Drosophila melanogaster: one gene and its partners. The protein of the gene in region 3 interacts with the protein of the main gene of each other region in a pairwise test. Each region holds a gene or a part of one and is shown on either strand. Other genes may lie near its edges.

Region 1 (3,268 bases), on a different chromosome or scaffold from region 3:
GAACTGCAGCAATGATGAAGACTACAGCGTAGGTGATCTGGAACAGCTTGGACATCCTTAGCAGGTGCTCGGTCATATTTCTATGACGCTCAGACTGGCTCTCGCCAGAAACCCGGGCATCCAGCTGACCAATAAGACTCTGGACCTCGACCATCTTTGTTAGTTGGGCCACGTACATGCAGAACTTCATGAGATTGGACAGCGAAGTGACCGTCAGGCTCAAGCTGAAATTATTTTCCACCGGATCTTCGAAACTGTATACTCCTCTCAGTAGCATGGGTGTCGGCAGGTACACCAAGATGCACAATAGCATCGACCAACTCCAGTACCTACCCTCGCTGAGATCCAAGGCACCACAAATTCGCCAGGCATTCAACTGGACTCGAAAATAGTCGATTTTTAGGGTTTCGCTGAGCTTCATTTTGAATTCTTGGTGTCTTTCTTTTTCACTGGCATACTTTCAAAAGGACCTCGACCATTTATATCACCTTTCTGTGTCAGTTGCGCCATTAGTCAGGGGTTATTAAATCGCAAATTAAATCATTATCGAGGGGTCGCATATAATTTTCCCAAAACTTGGGAAAATGCACACCCTTTGAGTGCCATTCAGCAAAGGAGTATCTATATATCACTTAATACAGAGCTTTATATTAAATTATTTTCATTCAAATTTTATGAATCTTTGATAAGCTACAAAAAATATAAAGGGCTTCGATTATTATTTTGTGTTTAATATCCTTCGCTTGGGACCAGCTAAGATATCCCCTCTAAGGGACTCCAGGTTGATGCTATTCATCTTTGTTATGCCATTTTTGCTTATCAGGAACAAATCTATGTTGCGCAAGTTGATAACGAATCGTTTATACAGCTCAATCACACACTTTTTGATAACATCATAGGCTGCCTGCGTATCCATGTCCGGTTTGTAGAACTCCTCGAGAATGGGAGTGCAGAAGTTCATGGCGGCTCCGTGGCCACCGTACCGAACGGGAACCGAGTTACCCAAATAATCGATGTAGTGCAACTCGGGACCGCTGGTCAAATCGTATCCGCCCACCAACAGCGACACCTGGAACGTGCAATCGCTCTTCAAATAGGCGGACAAATGCCTCCGGATGAAGTGCACCGCTCCGCGAACGGTTAAGTCGTATCCGTTGGTTATCTTGTAAAGATCCATGTTCCGGAGGATGAAATCCGAGAACTTCAGGCAGTCTCCACCGTCCCCAGCGGTCGACATCATGCAGTAGTCCGAGATGCGGTGAGTCTTTCTGACCTCTACACTCATTTATAAATTATTACTATCCTCCTTATCAAAGGCCTACTTACCGTCATCCAGCCACATCGCCGACTTGTTCCTCATGGTATCCGAGGCCAGTATGATGAAATCAGTTCCTTTAACACCCAAAATGGTTTCCATTTTAGGTAATGTTTGATTCAGTAAATTTTAGTCGGGTTTCGAAAGCCTTCTCAGTTACTTCTGTCTTTTGGTGACCGATAAACATTCAGATGCCAGAACATAAGTAATAACTCACTCACTTTCCTTCCATATTAGACCACGCATTTGTCGCTTCTCAGCGCGACTTTGCGAAGTTCGGGGGCCGTAAGAGTCCTGCGTGTCCTGTCAACAAGTCCACCCCCTCGACCAAACACCCAACCAATTCTCGTCTGCGTCCATTTCCGTTCGGTTTGTGCCACCGTTGGGGGCACTTAAAAAGCACTTAGTTGTGTTTCATTGAAATAATTTTCAGCATTTCCGCACTTGAACACGATTTTCATTATCCGCTAGCTGCATTTTACTATCCCCCATTGTCTGCACTTTTAATGTGATGGAAATTCGCGCCATTCTGAATAATTATTGCATCTATTTGTGAAATGGAAATATTTCCGCAATTAAAAACATATTTTCTAGCACCCTTCAAGTAATGACGACCATTCCATCCTCATCCAGATTTCCATCCCGGTTCGCACATCCTTTGTGTTTGCCATTTCAGACATTTATACTGCAATTAAATGCGAGAACTGCCAACAGCGAAGGAAGCGAAAGTTAATGGAATTCGCTGGAATAATAAAATGGGTCGTAGGACGCAGTGTTTACCTTGATTTTAAGATCTGATCCTCAACTGTATCCTATTGTTTTGTTTTGCCATTTAAACATTTGAAAAGAGTATCAAAAAATCGGACACAGTGACATAAACAAACATTCGGTATGAATTAAATTTGCAGTTCAATTTGATGACGACTCTGGGGAGCATGAGTTCCGTGGCTGCTGAAAATGTCATTTACGCTGACGAATCAGAGCTTAATCCGATTGGAGAGCTCCAAGGACGACGATGAATGGAATCGGACATTAATGTTCTTCAATGTAGATATTTCGAGCGGAGTGTGCCGTGACCACCAAAACAAGATTTCGCAGCCACGGTCCTCCGTTTGCAATGGAAAGCGTGAGTTGATTAACGACATTTGGCAATCGTCCGCTAACCCGAATATATACGCAAATCTAGGACGAGCTCCCGGCGGAGGATTGGCCAATCCAATTACGGAGAGTGTGATGTCATTTGTAGCAGCCAATAAATTCTATGCTCGCGAACATTCAAATTTTGATCATGGGAATTATACGCCACGAACTTCTGGCCGGCGAAGAGATAACTTTGCCTATTCCGACAGACGTCGTCATTTTTATCATAGACCAATTAAATCCGGACGAAGTCGTGCCGCAATAGGTTTAGTTTCCCCATCTCCATCGGCCGATTCTACGGGTTACTATGAGAGTAAAAGGATCCACTATCCAGACTTTGAGACTGGGAAGACGTTTGATAACTTTTACCCAGATGATGAACCTTATGAATTAGAGGAAGATGAACCCCGTAGAGTCCTCTCAACCTCTGATTATACAAAACAACAGGAAGATCCAAGAGCTAACAAAGAATACGCGGATGGCAGATATGACTACTACCCCCATGGTTCAAGGTCAACAAATAGACACCACAGAGAATCTAAGAGATACAATAGATATCCCTTCCCTGAGCACCCAGCTCAAGATGATTACCATCGAGACTTCAGACGAGCTGTTCCGCGTCAGTTACGATCTAGTTCCTATAGGATGAAACACAATTGTAGGCAGGCCTCAGGATCTTTACCACCCAACTATGCCTCAAATTGTTACCCACATGACTCAACGGAATATGGGAGTGACAATGACTATGACGGTTATCCTGAAAATTACAAAAAATACAGAGATTATTATGAGGAACCGACGGCTGAAGCCTAT
Region 2 (4,821 bases), on a different chromosome or scaffold from region 3:
TTGCTGCCGCTACTGCTGATGTGTTGCTGATGTGTCAGCCTGTTAATTGCCGCTGCCTGGGATGCTTGCGCAATGGGCGAGCGTTCATTTGCATAGCTCGGATTCTGGCGTGGAATGGGGAAGGGGGAAGGGGGAGGGGATCTGGGGGATATGGGTGCGATTATCTGAACCATCGCTGATCGTTGGTGGTCGCTCTGGGCGAGTGCTCACTGTGCTGTGGTTAGCCGGCGGTTGTTCGCAACAAGTGGAATTCTTGCCGAGTTTTCTGGGGTGCGAACTCATCACTCGCGGGAATCCTTGACTTAAGGTCTTTCAAATATTTGCTACAATCACTCACAATGGCTTAGTAAAATTCTTTAACGTTTGTTAAGAGCAAGAGTGACGAAGAACATTGCTTTTGCATATGAAGATATATTATTGGTAGATATATTATCGTCTCGAACAGTATATATATTCCCAAATTGACTAAAATATAATTGAGAGTTGCACTGGAACATACCTGTCATGGCTCCATTACTGCCGCTGCTGCTGCTGCTGTGCTCTCTGCTGTTTTCTCTGGCCGATGTTGCTGTTGCACTTGCTGTTGCTGCTGATGTTGCTGCGGCTGCAGATGTTGCTGATGTTGCTGTTGTTGTGGCAGCGGGCTTGTGAGTCGTGAGCGGTGGCATTGGTGGAGGAGTTCGCTCCTTTGTGCGTTTTAGGGAGCCCTCCTGGCTGGTATTGCTGGCCATGTTCTTGCACACGGAACTGATATTGCTGATGCTGCTAAAGCTGCTGAGACTGCTGAAGCTGCTGGAGCGTGCCAATGCCGGTGGATCCGATAGGAATTTCACCTGCTGCTGCTGCTGTTGCTGCTGCTGTTGTGGCCGCGACTGTGCTGGCCTGGTGGTCGCCAATCTCTTGGGCGCCGGAGGCTCTGGTTCAGTCTCATCCTCGGGCTCGCCCTCCGCCTTTAGCTCAGCCTCGAGCTCGTTTTCCAAGTCCGGCTGCACGGTGGCTATGATGGTGCCGTCCTCGTTGGCCTGCTCGAAGCAGACGTCCAGCAAGGTGGCTCCGCCACCGGCCTGTAGGCCGGCAATATCCTTGAGATCTATCCAACTGGCGCCCAGCTTATCAGCATCGCTGAGGGGCAAGCTCAGTACTCTCGTGTCGCCCTCGTCCACGATGTGGAAGGATTGCGTGGGCTCGATCTTGACGATGATGGGCTGGTTGGCCAGGATTTGGGCGGGTGGCGCACTGCCCAGCAAACTGGCCATGTTCTCCTCCTCCTCGTCGGCGGCCTCCAGTTCGCTGAGCTGCTGCTCGATCTGCAGGTAGGTATTACTGCTGGAGTTGGCTGCCACACCCGACTGCTGCTTCAGTACGTCCAGTTTGAGGACCGTGCACTTGTCGGTCTGCTGGTACTGGTGCTGCTGCTGGGGTCGTGGCAGCAGTGTCAGGGCGGGAGCACCCGATGTTCCAGAACCTTCCGTTATAAAGGCCAATGGTGGAGACGTGCCCGTGGATTTGGTGGACACACTCCGCGACGACTGGATCAGCTGGGGCAGTGCTGGCGGTGCTCCTCCACTGCCGCCAGTGCCAGAGGCACCGCTACCACTGCGTGCCACAATGGTGGTCGAGACGGGCAGCGGGATTATTGAGATGGAGGGCACCTTGCTGCGCAGATTGGCCACCGCCGCTGCTGTGGCGGCATCGGTGCCGATATACGTTGGACCACCGCTGGAGGATTTGCTGCCGCCGGCGGGCTTGGCCTGCTGTATCAGCAGGAGATCTCTGGGCCTATCCGTTGTGGCGGCCGTTTACTCACAAAGGCTCTCAAATGTCCGGATTTCGCCTTCGCTTAAAACACTAAACACTCACACTTTCACTTGGTTCATTGCTTGAATTTCTTGGGTTCTTTTATGCTTGTATTTGTTACTTGTTATATTTGGTTTTTTTTTTGGGTGTAGAAGCACAACATCGAAATAAATTGAAAATCAGCCTTACGAAAGTGCACTTAAAAAATTGTCGACTAAACAAGTTCATTCATACTGCATTGCCTCGATTGCTTGTCAATTGGTGTAGATACCCCAGAGGGGGTGGCCTAATGAGGGGCTGAGGGTTCGAAAAGGGGGGGGAGTGGGCTTTTAGGGGCGTAGTGGGGTCTGCAGATGCACCTGTGCGTTTCGTTTCGTTCGGTTCGTTTTTGGTTCGTTTTGCAGCTGGAAATACGCGTCGTATACTTAACGTAACTTTGTGCGATGCATAGAGTTCGACATTCCGATTAATGCTTTCCACTTGTGTTGGTTTTTGAGTAAATTTTGGGCTAGTCTTTTCGGTTTTGGGTTGTGTTTAACTTTACTTTACTGCCTAATATGCAGCAATTGTTGCTGTGCTTCGGTGACTGAGCCTGCTTCTGTATCTGTGTCCTCCGCGTTTGCCTGTGGTCGTTGTCATCCTCGTTTTCGTATCCTGCTGCTGCTGCTGTTGTTGCTGCTGTTGCTGTTGCTGCTGCTGCTGCTGCTGATGTTGCTGCTGCTGTTGCTGTTGCTGCTGCACATGCAACGCGTCGCCGCTGGATGGCTGCAAGGCTGCGCTGCAGCATTCGGTAGTGTCAGCGCCATTGGAACCCGACCACGTCAAAACAGTTGGAAGTGTGCCTCTGGATCTGGATGTGGATGTGCCAATGTTGCTGTTGATTTCCCACATCGCGGCACGCAACCCTATGCAACCACCACCCCAAGCACCACCTCCATCCTCACGGCAACAACAACCACCAGCTGTGTGGAAAGTGGCTTTAATAATCGATTTTTCAGCGGCACACTTGCGAATCAATATTTGGCAAACAGGAGCAGCGCTGCAGCTTTCCCTTTTCCTAATCGGATTTCTATCCCTTTAGCTTCGATATTAATTAAGCACTGTGTTCAATTTTGTTTCACTTTTGGCTGGTTTGTGGATTTCACTGTTTCAATATTTGTATTTTCACTTTCAGAGATTTGTGGCTAAATGCACCGCGCGCGTTTTTTTGTGACTCCTTTTTGTCGATTTTGCGAAGCAGCTGACCGGAGCTGCGTCCTTTACAGGAATGTGTCCCAAATTCGAGTGCCACAAACACAGTTCGTTCTGCCGCTGCACAAACTTTCCGTTTCGTGGGGGTTGCGCCTCAGTTTCTGGGAAAAGGAAAATCCGAGTGTGTGTGTGCGTGTGTATCCGCATGCAAGTTGAAAAATGGGACTCGCTGCGAACTGCTGCGAAAATAGGGTTAGTAGGCATAATGCCAAGTGCATAGCCAGGAAAAACTGGAAGCCACAACACGAAGGAAAACGAGCACAGTCGAACGAACGTTTGTTGCGCAGCTTTTCCACCCCTAAAACTCTCAGTGGGGGCGGGGGCGGGCTAAGGGCCAGGAAAATTCCCGTCGTGGTGATAAAGCGTCATGGGAAATTTCTGCACGCTCGAGGTGGAAATTCCAAGGGCGGAAAATTTTGAATGAGTCTTCTGGGCTTGACTTTCGACATTTACTCAACTAACAACTGAAACTGCCATTTATAATATTTGTAAAAATTCATAAAATTAGTTAATAAAAAATCAACTATGATATATATTTTTATATATACATGTTTAAAAAGAAACATATTTGGTAAACAAATATTTTCTTTTGTTATGCATTTAAATAGTGCATAAGATATGTAATTCATGGTTAACCCCTCGTTTATAAACCAAATTTGTAGAACACGGATAAACTATAGATGCAGTAGTAAGTCATTATATATACGAAGTCTTGTCTACTACAAGCTGTGTAAAGATAATATACATGTATTTATAATTATATAGTATGTATATAAAAAGCTTTAAAGTGTCATAAATAGTATGAACATTGGCACATATATATTTTTAAATGAGTCATAAAATGCGCATTTTTAGTGCTCTCAAAACTACAAGAATGCACTAAAATGTTAAGCTCGCTAATTAAAGCTGCCAATGCCAATTTGGGCAAAAACCAATCAAAGAACAGCTATGACCACAATGACCCTCGAGTCAAGAATGCCCAAAAAAAGGGGCGAACCGAGAACATCTCGGCCATTGGCCAACAGACGGGGCAAATTTGAACTAATCGCCCAACTGGGCCCCAGCCCAACCGATCGGATCGAGCCATCATTAGGGCGGGGAGGGGAGTGGGGGAATTGGGTGGCATAGGGCCAAACTTCTTATAGAGGAGGGTCGATGATGGCGAACGGAGCGACCACCGTTAGGACGGATTCGGATTCTGATTCGGAGCCAAGACTCAAGCATCGGCATTAATATTTCATGTTTTTCCGTTGCTTAAATCATGTTAGATTTATTCTGCGCCGCATTCAGCTGCCGCTTGCGCAACAACAATCAAGAGCTAACTGGTAACTGGTAACTGGTTGGTGGTTCTGCCAACCAGCTTACTAGCAGCTTGCAGCTAAACTTGGCTAAAACACCGTTGGTTCTAACGTGAACGCGAAATGTGTGCCTCACCGTTGTAAACTTCTTGCGGCGGCTGTTGCCTCATCATCTATTGCAAGTCTGTGCCGATTCTAACCTGTTTTCTCTGCAGAAACTCTCCGAAAAAGTCCCGTAAGAAAGTCCCAGTTATTCAAGAGGAAAAACCTGTTACACGCAACTGGCTCAGAGAGCTGATTGCCAAGAAAATGGAGACGGAGAAAAGCAAAGAACAGAACAGAATCAAAAAGAAGCCAGCGTATAGCCACAATAGCAGCAGAAACAGCAAACACGTTAGTACCGTTGCCTCGGATTCTTTGTTGCGCAACTGTGTTGCAAGATTAGCTGCGACTTCCAACTGGTTTATTGCAGCCC
Region 3 (3,723 bases):
CGAAACGGGAAATGAAAGTGCTGACAATTAAATTATGGCTATAAGATTGGGCCAAAATTTTGCCGCTTCAAGAAGGCAGTAGTTTCAGTTGCTTGCCAAGTTTAAATTTGGTCAAAGTTGGCCTTTGATCGTTTCAAACGTCAAGCAATACTCGATCGAAATCACAAAGTTATTGCAGCTCCCTTGGGAATGGGAAGAAATTTCCTTCGTCTGCCCAGTGTGAGTGGTAGAAGCTCATTCGTATATTCCATAGTCGCCTGTTCAAATCTTCCCAAGCGACGGAGCATTGTGCTCAGTTTTGGCCACATTATGACCGAGGTGAGTAAGGCTTTTAGGTCCTGCGGACTAAACATTAATATAAAATCCTCGTTGTGATTAATTTTATAAAATGCTTTTCACGATTAACTTTCCAGTCCCGTCCCTATGTATCAAATTTTAGTATGAATTATAAATAATAATGAATACATACATATATACGTGTTAAAACAACTTACAGATGAACTGCTGTGCATAATTTGTATGTTAACCAATCGTAATAGATCGCCCAAAAATAAGTAAAAATTTTAATAAATACCACAGAACTAGTATTTCTTGGTTGAAAACTTATCAAAATATATTTTTCTAGTTACAAGTAAGAATAGTGATTTATCAGCAATTCTCTTTGGGGCAAAGGGTTTTACAATTTCTTACACGCCACCTATCGGTGGTACAATCCTTACTTTACTTTCTACACTTATGCGGCAAATGTGCTGTAAAATGGATTTTATGTGAAGCATCTAATCAATGTCCCTATTTACTTTCACAACCTGTATAAATGATTTAAAAAAATATTTTAATCACTATCATCCGAAGAAATCTCCTGAGCTTCCTCCCCTGCTTCCGCTTTATCCTCCTTTTTCCCAAATTCCTCCTCCTCATCACTATCTGAGTTTTCCATTGGGTTTGTCTTGAGGCGAGCTATCAGCTCTTTGGCGGGATTGAAAATACCATTTGTTTGCTGGGAACAGATGATGCAGCGCTGTGACTTTTTGTACTGGGCCAAGGCGCACTTTTCACAGAAATAGTGCTTGCACCTGGAAGAAAGATAAATATGTTATTTATTCAGTAAATCCAGTTTAGAAATCGTTATCATCTTCATACTTTGTTACCACGGGATTGACAAAACTCTGTCGGCAGATGTGGCACTTGAAAGGCAGTGTTTCTTCATCGGAGTGAATCTCATACTTGGTATCATCGCCATCGGAGTCTACATCACCCGTTCGCTGATTTTCGTGATCCATTTCCAATTGCCAGCCCGCTTTGTAATCACTGCGATCGTGCAGAAACTTACAGCTGTCGCCAAAGCCGCAATATCCTGTTTCCTTGTAATCCTTGCATATATCCGGCTGATAATCCCACCTGACAGTGGCCCTAAGATGGGCAGGAGCCCTAATTGGGCCACTTCGTACCATTCCGGAGCTGGCATTCCCTGCCGCTGTATCCTGCTTCTTGTAGTACTGCGCATAGTTGTTAATTCCGCGATAGATCTTATCGTCCGCCTTGCCCTCCAGCTCTTCGTTGATTTTCAGAGCTCGCGCATGAATTGCCTGCGCATCGCGATCCAATTCTGTGTCCATTTCGTTAATCGATGTAGCTCCCTGATCTTGGGGTCCACTGGGCAGCGCCTCGCGTTTGGATTTGTACGCAATGCCCAGTTTATCATCGTCGGAGGCTGAGGATGAGCCATCATCACCAACTCCTCCCGCCTGTCTCTTTGCTTTGCTCATTGTCTTGGTGCTCTGGAAGTTGGGATTCGTGCGCTTTCGGCGGTTCTCGGCTCGCACCAGAGCACTGGCTTTGCCTTTGGTCTCTTCATCGCTGCTTTTTGCTGGAATATCAATAATATTTGCCCATTTACTTTGTTGGCGGTAAAATTAAGTTCCTACCAGATTCATCACTGCTGGTTTCCTTTTTGCGACGAATTCCAGCTCCCTTCTTGAGGTTCCGCTTCTTGAAGCCAAAGGACGAGGTGCTAGCCGCTTCTTCCGACATTCTCCGGCTTTTAAATTTATGTACTTATCTAGTAATTCACGTTAACAACAATTAACAATAGCAATTTCGCCAACTGGCGCTTCTTCTTCCCGGCTAGTGATGGTACTTGCGTAACAATCGTTATGGAGTTAGTATTTTTGTATGAAACGGGCACATTAAAATTCAATGTTTACTTATGAGGAATATATTCGTTTGTAATAATTGCAATTTTTACATATTTAATACATCATCAATATGTAATAATTAATAGATTTATATTAATTTAAAGAATTCTAGAAAATATTAACTCCTATGGGATCTACCCTTTTAATCATCGATACCAAGATGTTCTGAAAGCTTCCCACTTTTGGCGCTCTACACGCGGTCACACTGTTTTCTTATCGCTTGTTATTTTTAGATCGTCAAAAAACAAGTGCGTTTTTAAAAATTAATGGATTTCAGTTTTAGCTTACAAATTATTTACTCCGTTTCACCCCCAGAACATGACGCTCGAACAGCTGTCCGCAAATAAGTGCTTCGAGGGCGAGCAACGCGTGTATCGCCATCGCTCGGACACCTTGAAGTGCGACATGACCTTTGGCGTCTTCCTGCCGCCGGCCGCTTTGGAGGGTAAACCGTGTCCGGTGCTGTTCTTCCTCAGCGGACTGACCTGCACGCATGAGAACTTCATCCAGAAGAGCGGATTCCAGCAGCACGCCGCCCGCCACAACCTGATCGTCGTCAATCCGGACACTTCGCCCAGGGGCGTGGAAATTGCCGGCCAAGATGATGCATACGACTTTGGAAGCGGGGCTGGATTCTATGTGGATGCAAAGGAGGAGCCGTGGTCGAAGCACTACAAGATGTACAGCTATGTGACCCAGGAGCTGGTGGATGTGGTCAATGCCAATCTGCCCGTGGTTCCCGGTAAACGCGGTATATTCGGCCACAGTATGGGCGGCCACGGAGCCCTGATCTGCGCGCTTAAGAATCCCGGGCTGTACCAGTCGGTGTCCGCTTTTGCGCCGATTGCCAATCCCACCGAGTGCCCGTGGGGCAAGAAGGCCTTTGCCGGCTATCTGGGCTCCAATCCGGATGACTGGGCCCTGTGGGATGCCACGCATCTGGTGTCGCAGTACGAGAGCACTCCGCAGGAGCTCTTCATCGACCAAGGTGCAGCAGACAACTTCCTGGCCGGCAAGCAGCTGCTGCCGGAGAACCTGCTGGCTGCCGCAGATGGCAATGATCACATCCAGACCATCTTCAAGCAGCGCGAGGGATACGATCACAGCTACTTCTACATCGCCACGTTCGTCGCCGAACACATCGCCTACCATGCCGCCCTGCTCACAGCTTCCGCTTGATGATATTCCGCTTGTACATAATCGTTGGTTTCCACCGAAACCATAATTCAACGTAAATTTGGCAGTAAATAAACCAATTTCGACTGAGCTTCTAAAATGTATTCTTACATTCTTGACTTTAAACTTTGAACTTGGACTTTGAAAAACAAATATTTTTATTCATTCTAGGTGCCAATGTACAGAAGATTATACACAAATGGCGTGTACTTTGTTATTTCGGTTTTAAGTTCAGCAATTTCCTTTCACAAACAAAAACTTAAGTAATGGGTATTCAGCATTCGTCGAATTCCTAAGGACTTTTTCCCGGACTTGTGGTAAGGGTAAAAGCTCGCAACGTAGTAAAAGCTTT

What was found.
Region 1: the proteins of mdlc (region 3) and Prosbeta4R1 interact in a two-hybrid assay, tested with the Drosophila melanogaster proteins (one large-scale study listed by BioGRID).
Region 2: the proteins of mdlc (region 3) and Hr3 interact in a two-hybrid assay, tested with the Drosophila melanogaster proteins (one large-scale study listed by BioGRID).

Annotation. Positions count from the first base shown.
Region 1 is NT_033779.5:2,651,296-2,654,563, reverse strand, and holds Prosbeta4R1 (proteasome beta4 subunit-related 1), read right to left. Parts: upstream 1,519-3,268; 5' UTR 1,418-1,518; coding exon 1,327-1,417; intron 1,276-1,326; coding exon 719-1,275; 3' UTR 638-718; downstream 1-637. Other genes in the region: Or23a (odorant receptor 23a), read right to left, coding at 1-421; CG33125 (uncharacterized protein), read left to right, coding at 2,273-2,441, 2,502-3,268.
Region 2 is NT_033778.4:10,231,525-10,236,345, forward strand, and holds the start of Hr3 (hormone receptor 3), read right to left. Parts: upstream 3,084-4,821; 5' UTR 2,689-3,083; coding exon of another isoform or gene 2,350-2,688; 5' UTR 1,788-2,349; coding exon of another isoform or gene 1,257-1,787; coding exon 500-1,256; intron 1-499. Other genes in the region: CG12912 (uncharacterized protein), read right to left, coding at 2,350-2,688. UniProt on the Drosophila melanogaster protein: Putative receptor whose ligand is not yet known.
Region 3 is NT_033777.3:20,056,162-20,059,884, reverse strand, and holds mdlc (midlife crisis), read right to left. Parts: upstream 2,138-3,723; 5' UTR 2,032-2,137; coding exon 1,926-2,031; intron 1,868-1,925; coding exon 1,141-1,867; intron 1,074-1,140; coding exon 833-1,073; 3' UTR 594-832; downstream 1-593. Other genes in the region: CG4390 (uncharacterized protein), read left to right, coding at 190-318, 2,511-3,374.